Kluyveromyces lactis: one gene and its partners. The protein of the gene in region 1 binds, or shares a complex with, the protein of each later gene. Links are inferred from orthologs where the notes say so. Each region holds a gene or a part of one and is shown on either strand. Other genes may lie near its edges.

The links.
Region 2: MRPL40 (region 1) and MRPL32 share a complex: the UniProt entries of both Saccharomyces cerevisiae proteins name them as parts of the mitochondrial large ribosomal subunit. The link is inferred for Kluyveromyces lactis from reciprocal best matches to the Saccharomyces cerevisiae genes MRPL40 and MRPL32.
Region 3: MRPL40 (region 1) and MRPL28 share a complex: the UniProt entries of both Saccharomyces cerevisiae proteins name them as parts of the mitochondrial large ribosomal subunit. The link is inferred for Kluyveromyces lactis from reciprocal best matches to the Saccharomyces cerevisiae genes MRPL40 and MRPL28.
Region 4: MRPL40 (region 1) and MRPL35 share a complex: the UniProt entries of both Saccharomyces cerevisiae proteins name them as parts of the mitochondrial large ribosomal subunit. The link is inferred for Kluyveromyces lactis from reciprocal best matches to the Saccharomyces cerevisiae genes MRPL40 and MRPL35.
Region 5: MRPL40 (region 1) and YML6 share a complex: the UniProt entries of both Saccharomyces cerevisiae proteins name them as parts of the mitochondrial large ribosomal subunit. The link is inferred for Kluyveromyces lactis from reciprocal best matches to the Saccharomyces cerevisiae genes MRPL40 and YML6.
Region 6: MRPL40 (region 1) and MRPL10 share a complex: the UniProt entries of both Saccharomyces cerevisiae proteins name them as parts of the mitochondrial large ribosomal subunit. The link is inferred for Kluyveromyces lactis from reciprocal best matches to the Saccharomyces cerevisiae genes MRPL40 and MRPL10.
Region 7: MRPL40 (region 1) and IMG1 share a complex: the UniProt entries of both Saccharomyces cerevisiae proteins name them as parts of the mitochondrial large ribosomal subunit. The link is inferred for Kluyveromyces lactis from reciprocal best matches to the Saccharomyces cerevisiae genes MRPL40 and IMG1.

The regions. Positions count from the first base shown.
Region 1 is NC_006039.1:834,988-838,275, forward strand, and holds MRPL40 (mitochondrial 54S ribosomal protein uL24m), read right to left. Parts: upstream 1,569-3,288; coding exon 678-1,568; downstream 1-677. Other genes in the region: HNT3 (DNA 5'-adenosine monophosphate hydrolase), read right to left, coding at 1-446; CDC31 (centrin), read right to left, coding at 1,870-2,373; NIP100 (Nip100p), read left to right, coding at 2,642-3,288. UniProt on the Saccharomyces cerevisiae protein: Component of the mitochondrial ribosome (mitoribosome), a dedicated translation machinery responsible for the synthesis of mitochondrial genome-encoded proteins, including at least some of the essential transmembrane subunits of the mitochondrial respiratory chain.
Region 2 is NC_006042.1:1,182,279-1,185,074, reverse strand, and holds MRPL32 (mitochondrial 54S ribosomal protein bL32m), read left to right. Parts: upstream 1-1,387; coding exon 1,388-1,945; downstream 1,946-2,796. Other genes in the region: septin CDC10, read right to left, coding at 1-844; KLLA0_F12804g (uncharacterized protein), read left to right, coding at 2,424-2,796. UniProt on the Saccharomyces cerevisiae protein: Component of the mitochondrial ribosome (mitoribosome), a dedicated translation machinery responsible for the synthesis of mitochondrial genome-encoded proteins, including at least some of the essential transmembrane subunits of the mitochondrial respiratory chain.
Region 3 is NC_006039.1:1,299,904-1,302,577, forward strand, and holds MRPL28 (mitochondrial 54S ribosomal protein mL40), read left to right. Parts: upstream 1-1,293; coding exon 1,294-1,737; downstream 1,738-2,674. Other genes in the region: LFT1 (Lft1p), read left to right, coding at 1-373; KLLA0_C14916g (uncharacterized protein), read right to left, coding at 417-677; KLLA0_C14949g (MFS transporter), read right to left, coding at 2,184-2,674. UniProt on the Saccharomyces cerevisiae protein: Component of the mitochondrial ribosome (mitoribosome), a dedicated translation machinery responsible for the synthesis of mitochondrial genome-encoded proteins, including at least some of the essential transmembrane subunits of the mitochondrial respiratory chain.
Region 4 is NC_006040.1:1,118,974-1,122,615, forward strand, and holds MRPL35 (mitochondrial 54S ribosomal protein mL38), read left to right. Parts: upstream 1-1,971; coding exon 1,972-3,063; downstream 3,064-3,642. Other genes in the region: KLLA0_D13068g (M1 family metallopeptidase), read right to left, coding at 1-889; KLLA0_D13079g (uncharacterized protein), read right to left, coding at 1,181-1,447. UniProt on the Saccharomyces cerevisiae protein: Component of the mitochondrial ribosome (mitoribosome), a dedicated translation machinery responsible for the synthesis of mitochondrial genome-encoded proteins, including at least some of the essential transmembrane subunits of the mitochondrial respiratory chain.
Region 5 is NC_006038.1:120,302-123,760, reverse strand, and holds YML6 (mitochondrial 54S ribosomal protein uL4m), read right to left. Parts: upstream 1,898-3,459; coding exon 1,859-1,897; intron 1,691-1,858; coding exon 941-1,690; downstream 1-940. Other genes in the region: RPS18A (40S ribosomal protein uS13), read right to left, coding at 92-138; snoRNA-binding rRNA-processing protein UTP6, read left to right, coding at 2,470-3,459. UniProt on the Saccharomyces cerevisiae protein: Component of the mitochondrial ribosome (mitoribosome), a dedicated translation machinery responsible for the synthesis of mitochondrial genome-encoded proteins, including at least some of the essential transmembrane subunits of the mitochondrial respiratory chain.
Region 6 is NC_006039.1:1,032,967-1,036,344, reverse strand, and holds MRPL10 (mitochondrial 54S ribosomal protein uL15m), read left to right. Parts: upstream 1-1,470; coding exon 1,471-2,400; downstream 2,401-3,378. Other genes in the region: WSC2 (Wsc2p), read left to right, coding at 1-588; KLLA0_C12111g (uncharacterized protein), read right to left, coding at 2,574-3,378. UniProt on the Saccharomyces cerevisiae protein: Component of the mitochondrial ribosome (mitoribosome), a dedicated translation machinery responsible for the synthesis of mitochondrial genome-encoded proteins, including at least some of the essential transmembrane subunits of the mitochondrial respiratory chain.
Region 7 is NC_006042.1:571,492-574,357, forward strand, and holds IMG1 (mitochondrial 54S ribosomal protein bL19m), read left to right. Parts: upstream 1-1,517; coding exon 1,518-2,033; downstream 2,034-2,866. Other genes in the region: BUD23 (18S rRNA (guanine1575-N7)-methyltransferase), read left to right, coding at 405-1,208. UniProt on the Saccharomyces cerevisiae protein: Component of the mitochondrial ribosome (mitoribosome), a dedicated translation machinery responsible for the synthesis of mitochondrial genome-encoded proteins, including at least some of the essential transmembrane subunits of the mitochondrial respiratory chain.

The DNA of each region.
Region 1 (3,288 bases):
TGACTTCTTGGCAAAACTAAAAAATGTTCTTCAGATTTAGGGAACTTATCATGTATAATGGTCGCTATGTCGTCAAAGTAGAGTACTTCAGGCAATCGTTCTGGACACAAAACGTACGGTCTGAGACCTATGCTGAACGAGTTCTCCCTGTTTTTCTCGTCACCATGGGCGTTTGGTACATAAGTGGGTTTGAAAATCTGCAGATACTGATTATAAGTCATTCCAGTTGTGATTTGTGGATGGATTTTGTTCATATGGAAACCAATTAAATCTCTGTTCTTGCCGATGAACTGCTTTCGGCAATGTTTACAGTACACAATATCTTTGTTGGCGTCTTCATTTAATTTGAATAAATGAGTCGTAAACCCCGATTTATCTGAGATAGTCCATTGATCGCCTGGACTTTCCTTCCATTCTATAACATATATTGGACCGCACTCATCCATTTGTTATGAACTAGTAACAGTTATCTAATCATTTAGTCATTACTATAATCATAAATTGTTGAGGTCTGTTACTACAAGTAATGACCTTTACGTATAGATTTCCATTCAAAATAAACATGTAGTAAAAAAAAAAGTCAGATAAAAGTGCGATGAAGTATGATATTATGATCTATGTACAAGTAGCGTGGATACGAATGGCAGTTAAGTGCTAGCCAAAACTATTATTTATTCTTATTGTAATTCGAAAGATTTCTTGAAGTGTTGGTAGACCTTGTCACCAATCAATTCTTGATCTTCATCAGTCAATTTACGTTTTGGCAATGCTGCCAATTCTTTTCTTTGTTCGATGTATCTTTTCTTTGCTTCCGTTAGAGGCATTTTTGGAGCCACCAATCTTGATATTTCCTTCGTTGTCAAGGTACCTCTTCTGTATTTCGACTTAGGGTTACGGATGGTTGACAATGCTGCTTCTGGAACAGGATTTTTTACTACGCTTTCAACCCAGAAAGTTTGTTGACGTGCAATTTCAGAACGCGTAGCCAATGCACCATCTGGCTTGAACTCCGGCTTAGGCCATGGAACAACCATATTGTTCTCACCAACAACAACCCTATATGGCATAATTTTCTTGTAATCTGAATCATAATACGAACCCTTGAATTCGATGTCACGAACAGCAACAGTCTTAGCCACACCTGGAGTCTCTGGATCATCGAGATCAGCGACTAGTTTGATGTCCGCTTGGCTCACGGGGACAGGGAAACTCACCATATGACTGTTCTGCCCCTGTTGCCAAAATTGCTTGGGCACAGGAACAGTGTTGGTGGGTCCATTCTCATCCAAAATATACCCGTTTGTATGCACGTCGTGCTGCGTAATGGCACAAACATTGCCCTTAAACTTTCCATTTACTATCACCACTCTATCACCTGGCATATATTTCCATTGCTTTACACTCTTATACTTCTCGGATTCTTCGACACGAGGCAACGATGGTTTCAAGAACTCTGGCATCGTCAAACCTTCATACTTGGCAAATTGTTTCGCAATATTAGAGTTCTTCGCTTGAACTTGCTCCAAAAAACGGGCACCAGCCTTCGATAAATGTTTATATGAAGACATACCCGCTGATCTATTTTATTCTAGTATCGAATACCACCGTCCTTTTCACAGAACATAAACCATTTGTGGTTCATTCCATAGTACCATATTGATACATATGTCTTTCTTGATTCCGTTCCTTCAAGTTTTTCATCGACAAATTTTTTTGGAAGGGAAAAATGAAAGCACGTGATCCGAATTAGACTATCAGATTCTTCGCATTTGATTTAGTATTATAGCTTGATGTTACATAGGATATACAAGGTGAGATATACATGCGGCACAGGGCTCCAGCTGTGGCAATGGAAATGGTCGTGAAGCACTAATTGTCAGTGCATATAGCAATGAACTCTTCTTCATTGATCTCTCCGTCATCGTCAAGATCAAACTCATCAATCATGGCACGTAGTTCTTCGTCTGTAAGGTTTTCACCTAGTTCGTGAGCTACACGTTTCAAATTCTTCAATGAGATCTTGCCCGTGTTATCATCGTCGAATAGCCTGAAGGCACGTTTAATTTCATCCAATGGGTCTCTTTGCAATATTTTTTCTCCTACTACCAGGTAAAAATCCTCGTATTGTATTAACCGGCGTCCGTCTGCATCATACCTATCGATAAGTTCTAATATGTCTCCTTTACTGAGTTCAAAACCCAATGCCCTTAGAGCGACTTTGAATTCATGATAGTCGAGATATCCATCATTGTTCATATCAAAGAGTGAGAACGCCTCGTATATTTCTTGTTTCTGTTCTTCTAATAATTCCTTTTGTAAAGTGGATTTATCCACGGATTTCGCTACTCGTCCACTGGGCCTTCTGTTATTCATGTTTCTATGATCCGAATTGGGTTAGATTTCTTGCCGTTGTGAGTCTTGGCTGTAAGTCAATCGAACCTCTTAATTTACCTCTTTTGCTGCACGCGTAAACTTCGTGAAACTTCTTTAAAATATGTTTAAAGATTTCATGTTTATGATTATTTTGACAATATTGAGTTTAAGGAACATAAACACATATCCTGAAAGAAATGAAGGCAATAACTGATGAATACCTTACAGTACTGCCAGATCAACTACTCTTTAGTTCTAAAATGAAACAATGGATCTGGAATTAGGAGATAGGGTAGTGCTACGCAGCCTGGCAGGAACTGTACGGTTTATAGGCGAGACGCAGTTTGCAGCGGGGATTTGGATCGGTGTTGAGTTAGATGAACCCTTAGGGAAGAACGATGGTAGCGTCAAGGGAGTCAGGTACTTTGAACTCAGTGAGGGTAGAAAAGGTCGGATGTATGGTATATTCAGTAGAAGAGAGGGTATCTATAAAAATTCTGCACCGAACTCGCAACAATTTCAGGATCCTGATACTACGAATTCTAACTCATCAGATCCCGAACGATTGAAAAAGATCATTGGAAGATTGGAAGTTAAACTCAAGTCAGTTAATGACAAATGTATTTCGTTTGAAAAGGAGCTGGGATTGAGATCAAAAGAGCTTGAAAAAGTGCAATTTCTCGAGGAACAATTGGAGAAATTAACTTTAGGACGAGATGAGGCAGAGCAACGCAATGATTCACTGATATTTGAATTAGAAAGCTTGACCATTGCTCATGAAAGTGCTTTGAAGGAGCTTAATGATTATAAAGAAGAAATTTTAATAAGAAGAAAAGCAGACGTTGATGTCAACACTGATCAGATAGAATCAGTAGAATCAGATGCCCTTATCAAGCAAAACAGATTATTAACGGT
Region 2 (2,796 bases), on another chromosome or scaffold:
CGAACTCACATTGGTTGATGTCTTCGACATTGATGGCACCCCAACGAGTTTTTCTTCCTCTTACTAGTTCACCGTTCACTGTAATCTCCTTTTCAGATCCTACAACGGCAAATGGAATAATAGATCTTATACTTTTATTCAGTTCCACTTCTTCATCGGTCAGATCGTCTAAATCATATGGATAGATTCTGAAATTGTACTTTTTAAATTCTTCTTGTAAGATGTTTCTGAAGTTAGCTCTCTCATTCAACGTCAAAGTATCAGCTTTAGCGATCACCGGGATAACATTAGCGATTTCTGTCAATCTCTTCAAAGCAGCAACGTCAAGTTCTGTTAGACCCTTACCGTTAGGTTGGATGAAATATAACACTGCATGTACTCGAGTGTCTACAATGTGTCTTTCACGTTGAGCAGTCAACTCTTTACGTAAATATTGAGAGTGTTGCTCCTTGATGTACTTGACAATAGGTTCCCAAACTTTGTCGTTATTTATCTGGTCACCAAAACCTGGAGTGTCAATCACGTTCACGTTCAAACGTACACGGTCTTCCAATAAAGAATGTGTTGAAACCTTGATCTCGGTGGTCTTACTAATTGGTTCCTGAGTGATGTCCTTACCAGTAGAAGAATCAACCAAGTGAGATGCAAACAAAGTGTTGATCAAAGTACTCTTACCCAGACCAGAATGTCCAACGACCATAACGTTGAATTGAAATCCTCTCTTCAACAAACGATGTTCAATCTGTGAAGTAATCGAATCAAACCCAACATAAGAAGATGGATTTACCAAAGCCAACCCATCAGAAGAAGAAGTCATACCAGCTGCAGCAGTACTAGATGCCATTGTTTTTGTTTATGCGTGTATTTTACCTTTAATAATTCCTTTCGCGTAGTAGAGATGTATATAAGTCAAATCCAAATGATCAAAGCTTTACGTGTTTTAGTGTTTGGAAGTTAAAATAATGAAAAACCTCTAAGTTATAAAAACAATTAACCGCAATAACAAAAATTCAAACAATGAGTAGCAATTAACCACAGAAACGTCAAAAAAAAGTAATCACAATCTTACTTATTCTAAAGAATACAAGATCTGATTCCTTACTTATATTTTGTTGACACACTTATTTCGTTTCGAGTTCCATTTTTAGTTTTTGTGATTTTTCGTCTTTTTCATCGAAATCGAAAAAGGGACACAGATCATCACCAAATCAGGGTAATGTTGAAAATTCTTTCTTATAATCCAATTCGTCAATACCAATTTGAATTGACGAAGTTCAAACAGAGTTAGACGAGCGACCTAGAGAAACTAGTATCTGTCCCTATCGATTGAACTTATCCTTTCTCCTCTTCATCATAGTATCATACCAGCAGCGAAAATAATTAGAGGATGTCTTTTGGAGCTGTAACGGAATCTTTTAGCAGAGTGTTGCTGGAAACAGCGACATCAATATTGCCTCGTTGGAGCACTCCAGCAGCTGGTACTGCATTGCCACAGAAACTGCTGGAATTGCTTGAAAGAAACCAACGTGAAAAGTCTTCACCTCAAGCGGATTACTTTACGAATAACGGGATCCTTCTAGCTGTGCCCAAGAAGAAAGTGTCGCATCAGAAGAAGAGACAAAAGTTATATGCGCCTGGAGACAAACAGCTGAAAATGATCAACCATTTGAACAAATGCCCTTCATGTGGGCATTACAAGAAGGCACATACGCTATGTATGCATTGTGTGGGTGAAATCCGTCACATCTGGAAGGCTCACACTAACGTTGAACAAGTGGAGCCTATTCAAGAACAAGAGTTGTCTGAATTGGACAAGCGTATCTTGTATCCTGGTAGAAAAGAAACTGAATACACAAAGAAACTGAAGGACAAGGATGCTTATTTGGAGAGACGTATGAAAACTCTGCCAGTGGAGAGATCTGAGAAGAAAGAAGGATCACATTAAACCCTCTTCTCATTGAATCCAGTACAAAATAACACATCGGCGGAAATGACTAAAAAAAAACAACCTTTTATCAAGTTCAATCCCCCCATCACCTTGTATATATATGTCGAATACACGTCCCAGATTTTAGCAGGTTATTTCAGTGTCAGCATTCACCTCCTGTAGTAATAGTTAGATTCATTATCTCATCACAATCAACTCTACATAGAATCAAATCACATACAAAAATTTTCCTAGAGCAGGCTTGATGCCAGGCCTAAAGGCGTGAAAATCAGTCGAGAAAAGATCAGATTGAAAAGAAAAAAATCATGAGTGAAAAGATTTGAAGTAGCGATGAGATGAGATGAGGTGCGAATACACGATACAGGATTAAGCAGGACCTGAAAACTGGCATCAGTTTAACAGTTTGGTCTGATATTGGTTGTTTTGTTTTGTTTCACTTTAAATTGACAATAAGGCTGACAATTTTCCATACAGTATGACAACGACACGACAGTTCAAGAAAGTGAAAAAGGTGCCAAATTACAGGATTCCTGTATTTACCAGCATCCCAACGCATCCGTTAGGGGTAAAACCTAGCGGGAATTCTTTATTAGAGGGTGCAGATCCTCAGGAAACTAGAAAGCTTAGGAAAAAGCTGTTAGGCTCTCTGTCAGTGCTACCAGAAGATCTTATAATCGAAATACTCGCATATATCGATGATCCAAATGACTTGCAGAACCTCGGATGTAGTTCTAGGATCCTTTACGCGTACACCTACGATGAGGAACTATGGAGAAAGATTTATACCAAGGAGTACTTGAAGTTGGAATCGGAAAGTCCAGAGCAAGAGCGTATTTCGCCGTTTGGAT
Region 3 (2,674 bases), about 460 kb from region 1:
TGATGTCAAGCCGAAATTTAAAATGGATCCCTTGGAACCATTTGTCGCCAAAGCTTTACCGAGAGAGAAGAAGAAGCGACCAAAGGAGAAAAGGAAGAGCAAATTTTGGTTTTGGGGATCCCTTACCCATCATACTGACGAAGGAAACCACAGAGACAAAGCTAGGTCGCCAGAGCTTGAAGATTATAAAATTGGTGTTGTATCACCGAATTCGCGGTCCCCCACGTTATCGATTCCTTTCTCTGATCCCGATAACACTCAGACTATTACCAATAACGCAGTATCGGACAACATTAACCATCACCTGTCGCTAATAGACCTCGACGATGACGAGGAACACTTAAAGTGTTCAACGCCACCGTTAATACTGTGATACGTACTTTTTTTAGGCCTAATATATTTATTTCTCATCCTATTTAAATATCATCTACATTAGCACTGTAACTATATACCTTTTTTTGAGCCGGCGTTATTATAACTTGTTCTCTGCGTACCGGGGTAGCCACGATTGCCTCTGGTATGTGGTTGGTGCTCATATGACCCACTTGATTGCAATTTTCTGCTTGCTCCTCTCGTAGTGCCTTGTCTTCCTTAAGAACATCTGTATACGTTGGAGGATCCTCTGGCAAGGAACTTTTCTTCTCATCAGGATATTGCTTCTGATCGTCTTGAGACATCTTTCCGTAAGTTTGAGTTTAACTGTTTACGACTCCGAATGTTGGTCCAAGGGAAATCTCAACTCTTCGAACAGCGTCGGTTCTGATTGCCATTAAAATATATTGTCGTTTCTATACATTATAAATGGTTCAAACAGGGTCCTTGATGTGCAGATTTCCCTTTAAAACCTTACAAATGGCGTAATGCTATATCATCATATATCAGATGTAAAGATGAAAAGAAGGAAAATATGATATCTAAGGTATTCCAGGCTTTGTTAGATTCAATTTTTCATTATGTGAGGTGGCATAGCAGGTAATCAAGACAAGTCGGAAGTTAATCACCTACCAGCTAGTCGAAGGGCAGCTACTCCCTGTGTACTTGAACCTTTTTAGGTCACGTGCAAAAGAGTTTAGCAGTCAAAATAATCAACAGTTCCGGGTAACAGACATTTGTTTGTTCAACATCAGTAACTTTGAAAAATTTTGAAGATTCGATGAGGTTTCAGTGAGTTTATTGTTAGCTTTGACAATAAATTGAATGACGATTAAATACGGGTTGATTTTCTGCGATAAGTTCGTGTGATAGCATACAGCTTCTCAGCCAACCGAAAGGATCATTAATACTCCATCCACTATGCTAGCGAGTGCAGCATCTCGTAAGAATGCCTTGAAGGTAGTGCAACCCTCTTTGAACTTTGTTCGTGGGAAAAGAACTAAATCGAAAGGTGGATTAAATCCTCAAGCGCAAAGAATCATTACACAACTCTCTGTTATGTCTGCTAGCAGGAAACAGCCAAAACTTTTAAAACTTTCCCGTGAAGATTTGATCAAACATGATATGATTCAAGCTTGTTGGGCGCAATATCAAAGGGAACTGAGGGAAAAGAGAACAAATCTCTTGAAACTACAGTACGAGAATATAGAAGAAGCTATGAACTTATTAGAACAGGTAGATCCCGAACTATATGAAATGGCTAACGCTGAAGAATCAGGTAAGAGGGTCCCATTGGAACTAAGGGTACCTACTCAATACCCACCGAACAATGTGTGGTATTATGATTACAAGAAAAAGGATTGAATAGTTCGTTTCCAGGCATAATGCATTAAAGGTAGAGCACGAATCATATTTCACATTATCTCTTCTAGGACACTTTTTTATCGGTACACCAAACGTGGGTTGCTCGAGAAACAACTTGTGTGATCTACAGGCAAGACCAAGTGCCACGCAATAAAATATAATGGAGATGTTGCATTATATATTGTAATGAAAGAGTTAGATAGAAGAAATGTAAACAAACCATGTAAATAAGCAATTCTACGAAATGATTATCGGCAGAATGAAGCTCTTAAGCTTTTCAAAGGGGACTTTAACCGTATTCCAAAGTGACAGTGTACTTCAGAAAAAAACATGGCTTCTGTGTATACATCGGTTCGAATATGAATAATGGTCTTGTTTACAAATAGCATTATTCATTTGACTTAGATGATTTTAGCTTGAATGGGTACATGGTTAGCAAAATGGCATCACCATACATATTTTCTCCAGAATGATTTGCCTGCGGTGTTTTCAACGTTTGGAAGTAGCAGCCACGACAAAATCATTAGTTGAAACAACCCAAGAACAATAGGGAAGAGAACCCATGTACCTGTGCGATCAGAAATAAGCCCAACTACTAATGGAACTACAGCACCACCGGAAGAACCCATTGAAGTCATGATCAATAACGACTGTGATAATATTTTCCTTGGTAGAATCTTGGGATGCGACACTAGAGCAATCATTAAGGGATAGATTGGGCCTATAAACAATCCAGATATTGTTGTACAAACCGCAGAAACATAGAAGTTTGGTATTAACCACGCCAAAAGCAACAATACTGAAATGTTTAACGTTAGTAGGAAAATGGAACGACGACCACCTAATTTCTTGTATAATAATGTGGTCAAGCAGAATCTCCCTAGAGTTAATCCACCCCAATAACCAGATGCTATATAACCTGTGCTGTTTGCATTAC
Region 4 (3,642 bases), on another chromosome or scaffold:
TTTCCATGGCATTATGAGAATAAGTCTCGACACATAGCAAATCTAATTTTGGCAATGGGTATGGAATTTCAAAAGATTCAGAGAAGAAATCAATGACTCTCTTGGCTACATCAAGTGCAAATTTCCCCTGTTGAGCTTTTCCCTTGGCTGTGTACACTTTCACCGGTAGCTTACCACAACCAGAAGAAGTGCCATCCTGTGTATTGTAGTTCTCAATGGTAGGATATATACTCTTTTCGGTCTCAGATTCAATGTAGTCGTATTCTCCCACGGCCCATGCCACTAGATAAGTAGACATTAATGGTGTAGTATGGAATCTATAAGAAATTTGGTCTGATTCTGTCAATTTCTTCGTGCACTTCAGAGGCATATTAGCTAACACAGTGTATTTCTCATGCGCGATAATGCATATGTCAAAGGTTGCCTTCAAAGAGGGTTCATCGAAACATGGGAATGCTCTGCGAGCATCCGTTGCCTCGAACTGAGTGGAAAACATTACCTTATTTTCACCGGTAACAAAATCAGTATAATCTGAACGGTAGAATCCAGACATATTAGTCTGAATCATACCCTTATAATCGATCTTCAACACGAATTCATCATCAGATATACTCTCCGGAAATTTCAAGGAAACAACATCGTTCTCTAAATCGAAACTATGGTCCTTCATTCCCAAAGACACAGACCCCTCTTTCAGTTCAACCACCGCAGAAACGATCTCAATGTCCCTCATATTCAATGAAATCATGTCATTGGCATTAACAGTGGACATAATAATACGCACGGATCCGATAAATGAATTGTGCTCAGCATCTAACTCACTCAATTCAATCTCATAATGGTTGGCCCTAAAGTCGGTTGGTAGAGTTTGAATCTTAACGTCAGCCATCTTTCAGTGAATCAGGTATAAACTATTCCAATACCTAATTGGTTCTCTGGATATATCACCCCAGTTGTCTTATATAGTGAAAAATCCAATATGAAATCAAAGAGTAGGTGTCATTCAAAGCTTTATCAAAGGTCTTAAGTGTTATCAATCTGTTTTCGTCAATGTGTCAAAATTTTTTTCTACCTTCCCTGCTGAAAAGCTCAGAAGTGAGCGTAGAAATTTTGATATAAGACGGAGTAGTATGAAAAGAGAAGCTCCTCCATTATCCAGCAGCACAACTGCTCATACGTTTCACCTCTTGTGTAGTTTTGGCAGTAGTTTCTTTGACCTATTAAACATTTTGCGCAGTATTGAAGAAGACCGTCTCTTTAGCTGATCTCCGACATCAGAGTCAATTGAGTCGCTTATATCAGAATCGGAGCTGAACATAGAGGGAAAAGCTCTCTCTGTTGGAGTTTGTGTATCAAACTGCGAGTAAACTTGAAGTTTAGATATTAGTATGGTAACTGCCTCGACATCGTGCCTTAACTCTGTAGAATTCGGTTCTGAACCGTTCATATTTGATTTAATAAGCTTTTGAATATTATACAGGATAATACAGGGAATGAGAAGTAAACCTACAATGCTGATTGGCAAAGGGTCTTTATACCAGGAAAAAGTTGAGGCATCTTGTCTTTACAGATCTGAAACAATGTCGCGATGAGCATTCTCATATAAGATTCGTCGTTTCAAACATAAATGATCATTATAATCCGCATATAGGAAAGGGAAGAAGAAAATATACAAAGAAAGATGGATATGATGGGTTCGCTGGATCAGAAGAGCGTCATTTGCAACATATGAAACCGAATGGCAGTCTCAAAGGCAAAGCTTACCAGTTATTGATCTCTGAACTTCCACTTGGAGCGAGAGGCACGATCTTCTGTTACCCGGACTGAAACACATTAAAATTTTTTGGTGAAAAATCGATTTCGAACGATTCAGATGAGTTTTAAGTATGAACGGACAATGAAGATACATGAATAATCAGTTGTAGGATCCCATTGGAGGGTGTTTCAGAGACTAACAACTCGAATTGGAGAATGTTGCGTAGAGGGTTGCACAGCAGTGCCAAATGTTTAGAGAAAACCGGGGTATGGTCGGACTTTTCTAAGAGATCCAAGTCGCTTGGTTTAGCATCAGAATCGATTAAGAAATACATCTTTCAAGGCGACAGCGATGACGTTAGAAGACGAGGTCCACCGTCTTTGAAGCGGAGGATGAACCGTTTGAAGTATACCTCTCCTGAACATATTGATGAGATGTTCCGCTTGAGTTATGAGTTTATGAGTAAGCGCGCTGAAGAGAAGTATTCGCAACTAGAAAATGAGACTGATGCCAAGGTACGTGCTAAGTTAGAAACAGAGGCTGAATTGCATAACCCAGAGGTCCAATACAATTTTCAGTATCATGACAAGTTAGAGAACGATACTAGAGTGATAGATTATGCTGTTCCAGTGTACAGGCGTTTGGGGCTGAAGCATTGGGAATCCTACGAAAAAATGTTGTTAATGCAAAGACTAGAGACTTTGAGTGTAATCCCCGATACGTTACCTACTTTACAACCAAGAGTACAGGTTAATTTACGTTTCCCATTCAGTACTGGTGTGAACAAATGGGTTGAACCTGGTGAAATTTTGTCCTCCAACACGACTTCGATGGTTCCAACAATTAAGATTCAAGAGTACGAGAACGGTATCGACTTCGAAAAGCAAAAATACACTGTGGTAATTGTGAATCCAGATGAACCGGATGTGTTGAATGATACATTCAAGACGACTTTGGCGTTCGGTTTGACTAATTTAAAGATAGACTATAACGACAACGTGGTAGATCCAAGAAAATACAATGAATCGCAGATTCTTGCAGATTACATTCCTCCAGTACCTGAGAAAAATGTTGGCAAGCAAAGGTTCTCTGTATGGGTATTCAGACAGAATGGTGATTTGGAATCCCCTGAACCAGTCGATAGAGAAAACTTCGATATTAGAGAATTTGTTCGTTCCCACAACTTGGACCCGGTTGGTGCTCATGTTTGGAGATCAGAATGGGATTCTAACGTGGCAAACATTAGAGAGAAATACGGATTACCAGAAGGGAGAGTGTTCCATAGAGTTCGTAGATCTGTTGTATGAAAAAAAAAATGAAAGTTTCCAGAAAGAGTTTATTTCCTCCTCGTCTCTCTCGCGATATATATGATTACACACTTTTCAACAACCTCAGGTGGTCTGAATAATATCTCATACCTCATGTAAATAATATGCAATGTAGAAAATCAATGCAACATACGCAAATCATAAAAAAAACTAAAAAGCTTGTTCGAATCTATTAAGAATATGATCATTAGTTAACATTTATTCCCGGTAACATAATAAATTATATAGTAATAATACGGTGTATGGTGCGTGCGTTCATGTGCGTCTGTTTTTTTGGACTGCCTCTGATTGAATATTTTCCTAGAGGCTATATATAGAATCTTCTTTTTTTTTGGCTGTTTCTTCTTCATATGTTATTGTATTGGCTGTAAATCTAATCGTAACAAAAAAAAGGATTCGTGAGGTCTTTCGTTCTTAGTCGAGGAAAGCAGATATAACTCTTGTTGTCATCATTTCTTGTTGACTACCAGAATTCAAACAGAGAATACAACCTTTTATTTTTCTATTATGCTTCAGCTCGGAGTTATGCATACAAGTTCCTTTCCCTTGTTACACAAA
Region 5 (3,459 bases), on another chromosome or scaffold:
TGATAATACTCGTATTCATTGCCCTTGAACATATCTCATTTCAATTTCCTCGTTGTAATCCTCTTAAAACGTTTCTCATCTTAAAACATACCGCAAAATGTGTTGGAAGGAACCTTGTTCTTGAACAACTAGAGACATCTTTGCTTCTTACTCGTTCTGTTTCGAAAACGACTACCTAATAATAAAGTATCCGTTATTTAAATATAATAACACTAATATATCATTGTTAAGTAGCTTTTCACTAATTGAACACTATGATTTTGCAAAGGTTCAAAGGTTTCCCTCCATACAAACTTGCCATTCGGTAAAACCACTATAGAACGATTGTCTCACAACCGCACAAACCAGAACTGGACAGAGGCCCAGCATACTCTGTCACTGAGCAAGATCGGTCTAGTGGTGCATGTTCCCAGCCTAGGAGCAGAAGGTGTCGGTAGGAGAAGCAGAATCAGGGGGATGGAAATTCTGTCGGGGAGGAGAAACTGGAAAGAACCGAGGCGTCGGCACACCTAATGCCCTGTCTTTCCTTAGGCACGGAGAAAACTCAGCCCAAAGTCTGAAAAACGTTGGATGGGTTTCCTAATCAGGAAACTTGAAGGAAAGGAAAAATTAAACTATTATTCGGTTATAGGCGCATTGAAAATAATAAAATGCACGGGTGTATAAGGCTTCCGACAACAGTCCGAAATGGTTGCGTCTGTTTGTCCTCGATTTGGATTTTACAGCTTGATGATGGCCACAGCATTGGTCAATTGTCTTTACAAATACGGATGTCGCTAACTTAGATAAACAGCCGTGTAGCTATTTTCATTTTATTTGTGACGTTAATATACACACATACATATATATACAAGTTGTGGATGAGTTGGTGCAATGTGGAGTTTATTATTCGAAGCTTTTATTTTAACTCCCGTCTGATGATCAGTATCTCGTTCCATAATCAAACAACGTGAGTAACAGCCAGGTATTCTAAAGCTTCCAATTCAATAAAGATTCTGTGAGCCTTAAGTAGATCGTTGACATCAACAAATTCTTTTTGGACGATGTTAACTTTATCTTGGAATCTTTCTGTAAATGAAAATAATCCTGGCCTTGGTTCGTTAATAACGAATAATAGCTTCTTGTTCTGTAGCTCATAGTGCTTTAGGAATTTTTCGAACACGATATCGCCATCTTCTGAGCCCTCCCCGATGGGAAGAATTTCCAATTCATTTAGATCAGCCTGGCTTGTTTCGGAGATTCCGTCACCACTTCCGATGACGAAGACGTTACCGTTTCTGTATTGATGACTTAGTGCGTTATTGAATGCTAAAGAGTACACTTTCTTTGGGAGCGCTGTGGTATAATCATTTGGTGCAGTTCTTGCTAGAGCTCTACCACCGTTATGCCTTATTGGTGAATTAGCGTCACCAGCTCTGGCCATACCAGATCCCTTTTGTGGTAAAATCTTTCTTCTCGAATAACCAACATCACTTCTGCCTGGGGGGTTAGAAGACCCAACACGTTTACTGTCATTTTCGTAAACAACAGCACGCCATAGTAAGTCTCTTCTCAATGGAGCATCAAATACTGAGGTTGGCACTGGTGCAAATGTCAATGGTTCTAATGATGGGAATGAACGAACCGTTGCTAAGGTATATTTTGGCGGTAGACTAGCATTAGGAAGGGGTTTGTTGGAAACGTAACGGACCTGTAGAGAATAGGGAAAAGAGTAACAAAAAATTACGAGCAATAGTTAGTAAATCGATCTTCTAAAAGTAGGTGATATAACTGCTTAATGCGGAAGGATATCATCATGCAGTTTGAGGAAAGCCCGCGCTTTACCATTGCAACAGTGATGAAAATGGGTTTGACATACGTTTTTGCACAAATTCAAACCTTGTCTCTTGGAAAACATGGCTGATTCTGATACACTGACTTAATGTCTCGATACAAAGGGGATCAATTGGACACTCCTATGTCTGATCACCGCAAACAAATCAATCATCTTTAGTATTCAACCTATTTCATATTCAGATTTTTGATTATCGAAAATTTGTCTACCATGTAAAATATCCGGGTAATGTTAAATTGCCCGAATTAACGATCAACAAAACTGTCATCTTGTATGAAAGCATACAACGACATTAAGGGTCGCAGTTTATGGTAGTCCCGAATGTCATATGTAAGCGGATTCAATTTGCAGTAAAAAAAAATCCGATTTACGCTAGCAGAACAACAATTGTACTTGTCCTTTTGTTATTCATCGATGGTTATTTAAATGGAGGACTTTATTCTGACTGATTATATGAAAAAGAAATCAATATAACCAAAAAAATTCAAAAGCTTCAAGGCTCATCTCATCTCATCTCAGTATTATTTAGCATGAACAAAGCCAGTAGTCGTTTCCTTTGTCAGTAAGCGAGCGATACGAGTCTCCGTGATTACACTTTAATCAATACTTAACATAAAACTACCCAGAGTAAGGCGATGTCATCCAGAACAAGATATTACTTGGAACAATGTATTCCAGAAGTTGATGACTTAGTGCAGAAGAAGTTATTCACTAAGAATGAAGTAAACAAAATTATGAAGAAAAGGACTGATTTTGAACACAGATTGAGTTCGAGAGGTTCAAGTATAAGTGATTACATCAGATATATTGAATACGAGAAGAATGTCGATGCATTAAGAATGAAACGTGTTAAACGTATCTTGCAATCGAACAAATCAAATAGTATTTCGGATTTTACCATACAGCAGAGGATTCTCTATATTTTCCAAAGAGGCTGCAATAAGTTCCCAAAAAAATTGAAATTTTGGTCTTTATATTTGAATCATTTAAAATCAAAGGGTACAAATGCCTCTTATAAAAAGATTCAAAACGTCTACAATCAATTGCTCAAATTACATCCAACAAACGTTGACGTTTGGATATCATGTGCTAAATATGAATACGAATTGCACGCAAACTTCAAGAGCTGTAGAAATGTTTTTCAAACTGGTCTTAGATTTAATCCAGATGCTTCTAAACTCTGGTACGAGTACGTTAAATTCGAACTGAATTTCGTGACAAAATTGTTAAATAGAAGAAAAGTGATGAATTTAATCAACGAAAGGGAACAAGAGCTAGATATGCTACAACAGCAAGAGGAAGGAAGAAACTCCAGTAATGTAACAGGTCTGGAAGAAACTGCAGATGACGAAGCATACTTTGACAAAGACGGAATTCAACTTCCAAGTACTGGTGACAAGATGAAAGATAAACTAAACGAGTTACCAGAAGCCGATATGAATATGCTTGGATCAGAAGAAACTAATCCAGCACTACGTGGTGATGTCGCATTGGTTATATTCGATATCGCAATGAAGAATCTGGGCACATCTTTTGTCAAGAAACATCAAGGATACTACGCCGTTACCAATTCGCAAGTCGATGAAGAGCTCAGCAGAAACGTTATGTCCTACCTGTTTGATAGA
Region 6 (3,378 bases), about 200 kb from region 1:
ACCACAGCCGAAGGTACCAACACTGCAAACTCTAAAACGGAGTCAAATAAATCTTCATCATTGTCTAATGGTGCTATCGCTGGTATTGTTGTGGGTGTTGTTTTGGGTGTGTTACTGATCGCAGCAATTATCATTTTCTTCATCTGGCAACAGCGAAAGAAAAGTAAACGGTCAGACTTCGAGGAAAGTAAGCATTACCAACCTTATTCGTTTGGTCAAGAAGAAGACATCGTAGTCCCACCAGTTACCGGAGGTGGATTTGGCGCTGCTGCTACTTTACCAAACTCTCATTCAGCATCATCATCCTCTGATAGATCTGGTGTAAGTCAAAATAGGGAGAAAAGATTGGATAATAATGGAAACGAAATCAGTGATTCGCAAATCGTTAGTCCGTTTGGAGAAACTATGGATCAACCAGACCTAACACAACCTCCTGTACGTCCGACAATGGGAAATCCTAGATTCAGCAATGGTTCTTTACCAGATGTAACTCAACAAAGGCGACCGCTAAGAATCGCCAATCCAGATGAGCTGGATGATGAGGATACAGAATTCAATTCGATCATCGAAAATCTCAGGGGAGATTGATCCTGATACAATATAACATCATCTTTTTAACACATTTCGCTAAGATAATAGCATGATATACCCAATATCATCCCCTTGTTGTTGTCAAACAAAACAAACGCCAAAAGGAAATATTCCAAATATAAAACATCAACTAAGGCCCACAATAAGCCATGTTCCATACTCACTACTGATACTTGATACCCCTAATGAAAACTATCAACTGAGGATCAGTTAATTGTCTAACACTATAAACAAGACAAGTCACAAAATATATCGAAACGATTTATGTTATACTGATAAGTTGGGCTTTCACATATGTACATATATAACGTTATAATACTCATTTAATTTCTTCACATTTTACTTCAAGGTATCTTTATAATGGTTAATTGTCATGTTTACTGTCGGGAATTATTGTGCTACATTTTCATCTAGGGTAATTGTTTAAGGGATCCAAAAAAATGCTTCCAACCAGAGTCGAACTGATGATCTCCACATTACTAGTGTGGCGCCTTACCAACTTGGCCATAGAAGCTGTTTCTTGTCATAAAAAGAATTTACCACTATATACTCCTACGAGATTATTGCCTGCTACCAATTCTTTTCTGGTGGACCTAACCTATTTTGAACTGAGGAATACGCAGTTTATAATGTTACAGCTACATTTTTGAAAAACGTGATGCTAAAATAATAGTAGGTTTACTGAAATAGTTTCGGCTGTTTCAATTTGTCAATCTGCTAGGCGCATCTAAACACTTACATCAGCATTGCATACCCTCTTATCGTCTCCAAGCTCCCTCTGTGTCCTAGCGAATCTCAGCATTTTAAAAGGTTACCCGAATACCTAATTTCGAAAATTTTTTAGAATGAATATGGTTAACTTACAAGAAATTACTGGAGATGATTTGGATATTCAATGAATCTACTGGATATCTACTATTATCGATATTTAATAGCCCTATCTCGAGGTCTCACAATACTAGCACGATGTTTTCGATCAACAAAGTGGTGAATCCCTTTGGATCACTTATACAGAGATCATTTGTACGCCAAATCACGATCCTTGGTGGTTTAAAACCTGGTGAAGGCTCTAAGAAGAACTACAAAAGATTGGGTAGAGGTCCATCCAGTGGCAAAGGTAAGACTGCTGGTAGAGGTCAAAAGGGTCAAAAGGCCCGTGGTTATGTAAAATCATGGTTTGAAGGTGGTCAAACCCCAATCTTCAAATTGTTCCCAAAGCTAGGGTTCACCAACGTAACATCACTAAAATTGAAAGAATTAAACCTTGATAGAATAACGTGGTTCCACCAAAAGGGTCGCCTACATTTGGAGCCAGGTGAAACCTTGACGATGAAAAAGATGAAAGAAATCGGTTTGGTTACCGGCCCGATCAAAGATGGTATTAAGATTCTAGGTGATGGTAAATTCTCTTATAATCTTCCAATCAAGATTGAAGCTACTAGAGCTTCACAGGATGCAATTGAGGCAATCGAACATGCAGGCGGAAGTTTCACTGCTCGTTATTTCAACCGTCTTGGTCTAAGAGCCCATTTATCACCACATTGGTTCCTAGAAAAGTACGGAAGAGTTCCTCTACAAGCTAGACCCACAAAGAGGAAGGATATTGAATATTACTGTAACGAAGAAAAGAGAGGTTATTTGATTATGGAAAATGACCCATACTATCAACTTTTGCAGAAATCCAAAGATGAAGGCGGTAAAAATTTGGTTGCTCGGAAGACCAAGAAGTCCAAGCTTGAGTTGCAATTAGAGCAACTTGAGAACGATTTTGCTCCTGCTTCTCCAAATTCTGAAATTAAATCAAACTGAACATCATATAGCAATATAGAAATGCCCTGTATATAATACACATCATTCAACGCCATTTCTCCAGATTTATACACCATATCAATCAAATTGATATCTGTATTCACAAGTTGTAGCAACTTTTGTCTATTTAATGCTCTAAAGTCTAAAAATATAAGAATGAGCTTGTCTCACTTTTACACATCGTTTTGTGGAGTAGAAGACTCTGTGTTTTTGTTGTCCAACAATCTTTCTTCGAGAACCTGTAGGGCTAACTTTTTCCTTCTTTCTTCCGCTTCAGAGCCTTCAACAGGCTTAGCACCCCTCTTTTGAGCCAAAATGTTAGCTTGTTCGATATCGTATACTCTAAACGGAGTTGCAATACGCCAATCAACAATAAACTTCTGGTAAAGGTAATCAAATATTGGCTCAAGTACTGGTTTGACTAAATCCGGGAAGAAATATATCAATTGGAATGTCTCAGAGGCATCTCCTACCACTTCAAATTCAGCATCCTCAGCCATCGAAGCAGGTAGCCTCTGATAGAATCTCAAGTAGAAATAACAGGTGAAAAAAGTGATCCAAATTGATAATAACTGAGAGAAGTGGTGGAACCACAGAAGTTGCACAAACGAAAGCACAAGTAGAGTAAATATTGGCAGGAGTTTAAATCTGAAATTCTTGGAAATGAAAGGTAGATTCTTAGTCTCGAAAATGGTAGTTTCTGGGAATAACTGTTTGTAGATAATAGGGAACCCCACCAAAATTGTATAATTACCATCCAATGGTAAATCCAACCTTATTGCTGACGAAAACATTGATAAAATTATTGTAATTAGAACGACAATTAAGTTCGTAATGGTACCCAAGATTAGAACAAATTTGGCCAATTCTCTAGGGCTTTGCCAGAACCTTTCAATGAATGAACCACCTATAAGCAAATTAAAGAAGTTTAGCAAAAACTTCCATGGTTCTATGTCGACTAAATTGGAAAATACCAAT
Region 7 (2,866 bases), on another chromosome or scaffold:
AACATTCAAATTATCGATCATCCCTTATGTATATTTACGCAAACAACGGTAATTTAACAAATATGCCACATAATGCGAAATATTCCAAAACTTAGCCGATTATACTGATCAATACAACAGTAAAAGAGCATTAGGCGCTATACTGAATGTGATAGTAAGGACTTGTAATCTTATATCTACTAGCTTGATACGTTCCCTATTGCACGTGACCACATTCTTTACTACAACCAAGTTTCTTTTCCGAACGTTTGATTCAAAATTTTAAAGCTCATCTCGGTCATCGCCAAACATTTACGAACTAACAATGGCTACTTGAGCAAGCTGTTTGCATTGATATGCTCTGTTAATCAACTGACGGGAATAAAGTATAATAGGATAACAATTACAAGAAGTTTGAGATCGAAATGTCACGTCCAGAAGATTTGGCACCACCAGAAGTGTTTTACAATGACAGTGAATCTAAGAAGTATAGTGGCTCCACAAGAGTGCAACATATTCAAGCTAAAATGACACTTCGGGCCTTAGAACTTCTCAACCTGCCACATACATCATATATCTTGGATATTGGGTGTGGGTCTGGTTTAAGTGGTGAAATCATCACTGAAGAAGGACATATATGGTGTGGATTAGACATTTCTCCTAGTATGTTAGCTGAAGCGCTAGAAAGAGAAGTTGAAGGTGATCTTATGTTACACGATATAGGTCAAGGTATTCCATTTAGAGCAGGTGTATTTGATGCGGCAATTAGTATATCTGTGATTCAATGGTTATGTAATGCGGACACATCGTACAACGATCCAAAGAGAAGGCTCATGAGGTTCTTCAATACACTATTTGCTAGTTTGAAGAAAGGAGGAAAATTTGTAGCACAATTCTATCCAAAGAATGATGATCAAATAGACCAAATCTTGGGAGCAGCAAAAGTAGCTGGATTCTCTGGTGGCCTTGTCATTGATGATCCCGAGTCCAAAAAGAACAAGAAGTACTACTTGGTATTAAGCTCCGGATCTACAGAACAGAATGAACAAGTCAACTTGGATGGTGTTAAGATGGATGCAGATCTAATGGTAAAGAGAGAGCGTAAAAAGAAACTAGTTGAATCAAGTAAGGATTACATCAACAGAAAGAAGGAGGTGATGAAAAAAAGAGGTAGAAAGGTAGCTCTCGACTCGAAGTTTACGGGTAGAAAGAGAAGACCTAGGTTTTAGTATGGTCTTGCATATATAGAATTAGTAGATACGCACTTAATACAATCAGCAAACATGGACTGAAACGTTATCATTCATTCACCATTTTCCGTGTCTATTGCATCTGCCATGATCAAAACGTTTAAAATGATCATCAAACCTATGTTGTAGTTTTCCATAGAAAGAACATTCGAAAATTTTGGTTAAAAAAGATGGAAACATAAGTACCTAAGAGTTAAGAAAGCACTGAAGCGCAGTTTATATTTGAGTTTAAGCCTTTACTACCCGTCAGATCAAGTTCCCATTCCAAAACTATATTAGTCCCATACAATGTTAAAGAGACTACTACCTACCGTTATCAGACAATCTGTTAGAAGTTATCAACTTCCAGCTAAGAGTGGAAGAAAGATTATTCCAGTTTACCCACCAGTTGAAAGAATATCCTCCCCATTAGTAGTGAAGACTCTAGCTGATCATGATCTAAAACAACTTGACCCAACTGGTGTAAAAACAGAGATGGTTTCAAAGAAAAACCCAAATCGTCTACGTGCAGGTGATGTTCTTCGTGTAGTTTACGATTCCAAGAAATGCAACTACGATAGTTTTACTGGATATGTGCTATCGGTAGACCGTAAGCCAATAGTACAAGACACATCCATTCTATTAAGAGATTATATTTATAAAACCTGTGTGGAAATGAGAGTGCCAATCTTCTCACCATTGGTAGAGAGAATTGATTTGATTAGAAGAGCGGATGGTAAGAGACGCAGAAGTAAACATTATTACATCAGAAACACCAGATTGGATGTCGGAGATTTGGAAGCAAGTATGAGAAAGAAGAAATGAGCACATTCACACTATCAAACACTTGCTGAATTTTCATAAAATGAAACATGTACATAGAAGCAATTCAAACATATAGTAAGTAATGCTCGATATCAATGCAAACCCAAAGACAAGGAAGATTCAAAGTTGAAAGAGCTCCAGAGTTGAACCATAATGCAAGGTACTCTATGCAGGTCCAGCTTCTCTAGGTAAAGTTATTTGTATCATTAGCATGTCGGGTGGATATATAATTGTATAATCTGTAAAATAAAAAGGCGGATTATGCTAGTCCTTATACCTCATCAAGTGCATCCAATAAGAAAGGAAAATCATGAGAAAGGATAAGCATAAGAAAGGATTTGTACGCTCTATCTAAAACAAAGCTGCATTGAGTGAGCAAGTTGCTCTATTAGAAATGAAAAGATTACAAGCAATTTTGGTCCGCATTTTTGATAATTTATGAAGGTTCTTGATTGGTTCAAAAAAGTAGTGGTATAATGTTATGAAAGCCGTACCAGCCGTCTCTATTGAAAAAAAATTGAAATAAGCTGACATTAAAAAACAACCATAACAGGTAAGGCAGCACGCCCGCATTTTTGATCTCGTGGATGGTTGCGCCACGATGCAATGAAACTGTTACAATAATCAATGATAAAAAATAGATCTTCTTTTATTAACTTGTCATGACATAGAATAATGTGAGACAAAATAACTCACCATGAAAGGTAGATTTGGTACGTTAGATCTGCTTCATTTCATTTCGTACAAGGCAGTGCTGTAAAAAAAAAACAGTTAATAGTATATGGGTCAAAATTATTCACAAGAAGGATGTGATGAGGGTGAAAATAGAATTG